Nothobranchius furzeri: one gene and its partner. The protein of the gene in region 2 purifies or fractionates together with the protein of the main gene of each other region. This does not show direct contact. Links are inferred from orthologs where the notes say so. Each region holds a gene or a part of one and is shown on either strand. Other genes may lie near its edges.

What was found.
Region 1: the proteins of cytochrome b-c1 complex subunit Rieske, mitochondrial (region 2) and lyrm7 purify together in Homo sapiens (co-immunoprecipitation; 5 studies listed by BioGRID and IntAct, with this or other methods). This does not show direct contact. The link is inferred for Nothobranchius furzeri from reciprocal best matches to the Homo sapiens genes UQCRFS1 and LYRM7.

Annotation. Positions count from the first base shown.
Region 1 is NC_091752.1:25,367,595-25,371,388, reverse strand, and holds lyrm7 (complex III assembly factor LYRM7), read right to left. Parts: upstream 2,485-3,794; 5' UTR 2,415-2,484; coding exon 2,397-2,414; intron 2,230-2,396; coding exon 2,157-2,229; intron 1,996-2,156; coding exon 1,925-1,995; intron 1,725-1,924; coding exon 1,643-1,724; intron 1,505-1,642; coding exon 1,434-1,504; 3' UTR 691-1,433; downstream 1-690. Other genes in the region: adenosine 5'-monophosphoramidase HINT1, read left to right, coding at 2,788-2,898, 3,300-3,404, 3,653-3,794.
Region 2 is NC_091744.1:78,630,171-78,633,609, forward strand, and holds cytochrome b-c1 complex subunit Rieske, mitochondrial, read right to left. Parts: upstream 2,208-3,439; 5' UTR 2,038-2,207; coding exon 1,926-2,037; intron 1,566-1,925; coding exon 955-1,565; 3' UTR 739-954; downstream 1-738. Other genes in the region: rxylt1 (ribitol-5-phosphate xylosyltransferase 1), read left to right, coding at 2,423-2,570, 2,718-2,900, 3,271-3,373.

The DNA of each region.
Region 1 (3,794 bases), on a different chromosome or scaffold from region 2:
GAGAAACAAACATTTTTTCATTGGCCTTTAGAATATTCTAATTTTCTGAGATACCAGATTTGATGTTTTCATTGGTTGTCACCTATAAATATCAAAATTAAACGTAATAAACATCGGAAATACATTGGTCTGTGTGCATTGCATGAATATAATGTACAAGTTTCACGTTTTGAATGGAATTACTGAAATATTTTCAACCTTTTGATGATATTCTAATTTACTGGCCAGCACCTGTATAGCTAGCTTAAGGGCTGCGACTAGACTCATAGAATCTGGGGTTACAATCGGTTACAATAACCAACATTCTTGGTCATTCAGTTCATGGTAATCCAAAGGGTTCAGAGGAATGCAACTTCTTTGGTTTCTTTTTCACGTTTGACATAGACAGCTTATTTTACTCCTCTCTCAAACCATCTATCTTCTCTGTCCAGAATGGACAAGAACATCAAGTTCACCAGGGAAGATCCACACAACAACCAACTGCCCTTCTTGGACTGTGCTGTGCAAACTGAACAAGATTGAAGTTTGTAGTTAGCTGGTTAGTGAAGGAGAATAAAAATAAACATCCCAGATATTACTGGAAGTTTATGGGTTTTTAGTTTTATTATTTTCTGCATTAAACTCAACTTGGCCCATGCTTAAGCATGTCTAAAAATGAGACCATTGGTTTCAAATAAACTAAGCCAAACATTTAATTTCATGTTATTTATTTCTTACACCCTTGAACTGCAGCATAAATATCTCTAAAGCTGCTCAAAGACATTGAAAGCTAACATATGGACCCATTATGGATTTTATAACCTAAATTTAAGACAAGAATTGGACATTTCCAATAGGGTTTCAGTACTTTTTAAGAGCACGTTTCTCCCACAGCCTGAGATGTTGAAAGAGGAAACTGTTTTTTACCTTGCTAAATCTTCTTAAATGTTTTGCACTTTTAATTGTCCTAAGCACTGTTGTGATTGAATAGCTTTTGTGGGAAATGGCATGTAGTGTCAGACACATTTTTGATCTAAAAAAGCAACTATCTATCACAAAGCCGACGAAAGACCCCCCTTCCCCTTAAAACAAAACTCTTCAGATCTACACGATTCATGTGAACGCCACATTTGGCTTCAAAAACAGTTATTTTTGCCAAAAAGCTACAAGTCTGCAGTTATGATTAATAGCAGCAAAAGAATATTTTGTGCCAGTCTGATTTCATAGCAAGCTACTAAAATGTAAACAAAACATTTGAAGGACATTTCAAAGGATGATATGTGTGAGCAGGGACGTTTGCACAATGTGCATCCAGAACAAGGGGGATCTTCTCTCTTCCAGGAGTTGGTAAAAAAAAATCACTTTGGAGATCCTGAACAGCTTTTAAAGCTGTCTGGTTAAATCCTTTAAACAGTAAATCAAAGTGATGGATGATAGTCTCTGCTGATATTCTTTCATGACTTTTTCCTGGGTTCATCACAGTAAGGTACATTTTCCCGTAGAAGGCCTTCTCTTGGTCGAAGCACTGAGGGACATAGGAAGAGTAAATACAATACAACGTCAAATAACAATCGTCAGCAGGTTTTGAGACATTCTTTCATCAGATTGTAAATGTTGGTTTAGTCAAATATTTCTTATAAAAAGAGAAAAAATGTTTTCATACAGAGTGTGTTTTCTCCAACATGTTCCATCTGAACCACAGACTCACGAAGAACTGTTTCCACATCAGAGCCCATTTTGATCATCTGTAATATTAAAATATGAAAAGAACTCTTCAGTTTTCACTCTGTACAAATACAAGAAAAGATATACTGATGTATCACCATGTTTTGACCCAAATTAAATTAATATCTACTGACCAGATAGAAATCTTATTTGAAACGGATCCAGTTAGAAAGCATCAAATAAAAATTTAATGTAGGTAAGAAAAATTAAACATTTATACCTTCTGAATATTTTCTTCTGATACTTCATTTTTATTCTTCTTGAACTCATCATTGATCTTTAATCTTGCAGCTTCAACAAAGAAAACAGGCATGTGATCAGTAGTACATCCTATGCAGACATATGCAAAGGCAGCAAAATCATTTTGCATCGGAAACTGTCCGTAACGTTATGATTAACGCACACAAATCCCAGACGCGGTTTTGTGAATAAAAAAACGTTGTGTAACTCACCACCCAGCGCTGTTTCATCCTCTTTAAACACATCCATCCTTGTTCTGTGCAGCTTTTTAAACACGCGTAAAACCTGCATTTATACACAAAGCTTTCTACATCACTTGACAACAGTTATCAAAATTCACCGCATTGAAAAAACCGAAAATATTGTGCTAAAATGACAAAATTAATTTAAATCATAAAGCGTGGATTAATTAATGATACTTTTATAAAATCTACAATATTTTCCTCCCTCACCTTCAAACGAGTCCCCATGTTGGCTTTTTCTCACTTCCGAGGTAAGTGAACATTAACCAATAAGCGAAGCTTTTGAAGTCACGTTTATTTGGTAGCCAATCAACGTTCAGCCTGGCTTTAGCTAGCCTAAAATAGCCAGTTTGGCTAGCCATTTTGCCGTATATTTGAGAAATAAACAAAATGAAACTTTAAGATTTTTCAAGTAATTTTTAAAATTAACATTTGAAAGGCTAGTAGTGTACATTAAATAAATATACGGTATCTGCCCACAAAGTTCTTTTATTTCTAAAAAAATAAAATAAGAAGCATTCACGACGGTTTGATTATGTGTCACAGCGGGTTTCCATCTTCCACATTGTCTTGCTGCTACCACATCAATCGAAAGCCAAACATGGCTGATGAAACGGCGAAGGCACAGGTTGCCCGGCCGGGCGGAGATACAATATTTGGGAAAATAGTTCGCAAAGAGATTCCTGTCAACCTAGTTTATGAAGATGATTTGGTAAGTAGCTACATGTCCTCTCGGTGACAATTTTATGCGCATAGCAGCTTCAGAGCAGCGTGCTGCAGCTTCCTGCAGGACACGTTAGCTTCTCGCTAGCTCTGCAAACACACACGGATCATAGGGAAGTTTTTACTACGTATTGAATTACCCAGACTGGAAAGCGAGTCCACGTGCAAACTTTACAGAAATAACACAATATATCCGAAAACATAGTTTGAAAACAGACTTTTGTGCATGGTTCAGTTTTGCAGTTTCACTTTTCCCTTTTGGCATATTTGTCGTTTTTTTGTCATCTTAGAAACAACAACCGATTAGCTCGGGGGACGAGTTTTACACGTTTGTCACGTGGTTTTGAACGTGTTTGCTACACATTCTTGATGGGGTTCCTTTTATTTCAGTGTGTTGCCTTCCCTGATATTGCTCCTCAAGCTCCCACTCACATCCTGGTCGTCCCCAAAAAACCAATTGTTCAGCTGTCACAAGCCGAGGACAGTGATGCTGCTGTAAGTAGGATTCTTCCATTTATTTCTTTAAATTGAGGGATGTGGATAAATGCTAAATCATGTCTGACTTGTAGAGCAACACTATCAGTAACCGCTAGAGGGAGCCATTTTTTTTAGTTTCTCAGAGCTTGCCAGGCTAGGGACTGTGTGTGTGTGTGTGTGTGTGTGCGTGTGTGCGTGTGTGTGTGTGCGTGTGTGCGTGCGTGCGTGTGAAGAAATACATGTAAATGCTATTTTTTGTTTTGTAGCTGTTAGGTCACATGCTGATAGTTGCAAAGAAGTGTGCCCGAGACGCAGGTCTGGCTAAAGGCTACAGGATTGTCATCAACGACGGGCCGGATGGCGGCCAGTCCGTCTACCACATCCACATTCACATCCTGGGTGGACGCA
Region 2 (3,439 bases):
CTAAAAGTTTAACACGCCTAGTAAGATTATTGAGTAGAATATAAGCTGCTCCTGTAAAGCAGAAGCAACATAGTAAGAATAGGAGTTGTGGATTTGAAGTGGCCTGTGAAGGAAGTGCACTTTTTTAGTAAAAATATTTATTATGTATCTGAATGCTCTGAAAGTGATATTACGTGGCTTTAAAAGTTGTGAATTTAATACTTGATTTATTGATATTGGAACAGCCTATGGTCATATTTGTACAAAGATATAATTGTGGAAAAAAATGAGCCAAATTGCTTTTATGAATATAATGGCACAAACCGTCCATCAAGTTGCATTGTGTGAATGTTTAGAGTATATTGGATTATTTCAGTAAAACAGAATATTACTGCTTTTGTTTACATAACCTTTTGTACGTCATGTGCATCTAATAAGCTTAAAGTGTTCATCTAACAAATCGTAATTCATTATGTTTACTTATTAATAATCCTTCAAGTGCTCCAATATAATCTAAAAACTTTTAAGTCAAAACAACTCTGAGGACTTGGCTGTGACTTTTTCATAAGGGATGACATGCAAAAAAATGTCAAATAAAAATATTTTAAGATTTTTAAAATGTGTTTTAGTCCACTTTTGTTTTTTTCTACCTTTTATGTGGTACTCCTGTTTACAACCAGAATTGATTCTTTTTTTCTATGCAACAGTCTCGAATTCCCAGTAATGCGTACAAAATGCAGCGAAAAATGAGAAATATACTGGCATGGATGAGATACTTTATTGATCTCGGTGCAGCAGTTGTAATCACGTACAGAAATCAAAATAAGTGATGACTCACTCAAGGCTGAACTGCATTAACTCAATAGAGCATTTCTTAATACCTTTTTAATTACAAGTAGACATAAGATCCCTAAAATCATAAATAGAGTCAACTAATTGCAATTTTAGGGAGAGGAACTGGGACAGCATCTGTATTTATCCCACTACGAGTGTGTTGTCATCAAGGAACTCGTAGTAGGGAACCTCCAGATTAAGAGGAGCAGGTCCCCTTCTTATTCTTCCTGAAGCATCATAGTGAGAGCCGTGGCACGGACAGTAGTAACCCCCAAAGTCTCCAGCATTAGCGATAGGCACACAGCCCAGATGGGTGCACACTCCAATAACAACGACCCACTTGGGGTTGATCACTCTTTCTTTGTCATGCTGGGGATCACGCAGCTCTCCGATGTTCACAGCTTCCTCTGTGGAAATTTCCTTTTCTGTACGATGACGGACAAATAAGGGCTTTCCTCTCCACTTGAAGGTCATGTTTTTGCCTTCTGGGATGTCACTCAGCTTGATCTCAATTTTGGATAAGGCCAGAACATCAGCTGATGCACTCATGGAGGTGACAAACTGGGTGACGACCGTTTTGGCTGCATAGACACCAACCACAGCGGTAGCGCCTGTTAACATGTAGGAGAATGCCTTTCTTGTGTCACTGCTGTCTTGGGAAGACTTTCTGGGATCCAAAACCTCTGGGCGACGGTAGTCTGAGAAGTCAGGAATCTTGATGTCTGTGTGGGCCAGACGGGTTCCTGCAGGGGCTGGAAAGAGAAATGACAGACAACATTGGTAAATGAGCTTTACAACACCTTATTAAGCTGTATTTACAATATTCTTTCAAATGTTTACATATTTAAACGTTTAATCCTTAACGATATAATTAGGATAGGTGTTAAATGTAACCTTACAAAGTAGAAGCCGACAAGCAGTTAACGGTTCTGTATTACTTTTTATTCAAAAGTACTTTAGAGTAGTAGCATAATAAAATAGTTATGGAACTTTGGTTTAAATATATTAATTACACTCAACTAAATACTTTAGGTAATGTTAAAATTCTAGTTATGAGCTACTACAAGCTAGGTTTTGTAGTAACGTCACCTAGCTAGCTAACTCGGCCTTACCAGCAACGGTAAACAGCTCCATAGCTCCCGGGAACACCAGGCTTTTAAAGGTGTTTCTTGTTGCTCGATAATAGGGTAAAATAACCCCGGGGCGAGTGACTGTGGACATCATTTTGCCCCAAAAAGAGTCTCTTCAACCCGGTAGCTTGGGACACGACCTTGCGCTAAAGTAGCTTGCGCGCGCCACTCTTTTCTGCCTTCCCAGAAATGGTCTAACCTTTAACCGTCCCTGTTACGTGTGTATGTTTTTTTTATTTAAAATAATCTAGAATGTCCCTTATCCTCTTTAAAAAATATTCTGATCATTTTTTTCGTGTAATTATGCAACATAATTATTAAAAAATAAAATCTTAAATAAAAAAATGCCAAAGGTCTGATCAAGGCAGGCACATTTTAAGACACCTCCAACGCGGGGTCCTTATGATGTAAACAAGTGTCGTCGCACGAAATGTACGGAAACGCGCTACACAATGGTAACCTGAGATAAGCGAAGAAAAATGAAAATACCGAAAAGAAAGCTGTTTCTTTTTATTATTTTTGCATACGTGGCGTTTTCACTTTATGCCGCATATAATGTTTTCTTCAGCAACAAAGTAATCTCCCGCGTTCACAGAGTGGTGAAGAAGGAGACGGGAGCGCCGTCGGGTGATTTCACTTTAACATTTAATCTCGTTGAAAAGAATTCCTTCAAAGATATTCAACTATTGTGATTTTTTTTTGTTTAGTCATTGTGTTTTTTAATAAATAAAATGCACACAAAGGAGCTAAGTAGGGCCCGTGATGTGTTTGCAGGCGGTGTCAGAGATGGCGGTGCTCCATTTGTTGCTGATGAGTGGAATCCGTGGGAGGATGAGGAGGTGGAGTACAACTCTGCTCTGAACAAAAAGAGACAAGCCTTTAAAGAGTATATGGCTAAACTTGACAGAAACAAACCCAAAAGATACAAGGTCCAAATCTGGGGGAAAGCTGCTATAGGTATGGCATGGATCCAGTCTTATTAGACTGTCATAACCTGGGGCTTTTTAATTTATTTATTTACAGTGCATCTTTAACATCTTCAAGTTTTTTTTTTCATCTTTTAAAAATATAATTACTTTTTATAAGATCCAAAAGATGATCAGAACCTGGTTTTACATAACTACAGACAAATTTTGGGGGTTTAAAAATGTTAAATGCCTCTTAGCTTCTTTGTACACGTTTCACAAATAGATGACTAATCTGAACACTGTGAGCACATTTGATGTATTTGTGCCCCTTGTTAGAATATTGGTGAAACTTATACTGTGCATTAGCATTAAATATGTAACTTTGATTGCAAATGTCATTAATTATCTTCTCTTCTCAGGGCTTTACCTTTGGGAACATATTTTAGGAGGACCTCTTAACCCAACAGACAAGGTAGCACAGTGGCGAGAGGGGGAGCTACAGTCAGGAAAAATCGATTTCAGGTAAAACACCACAGTTATGTTTAGTTTTTCATCAAACTTTTTGTGTTAGACATACTTCATACTGTT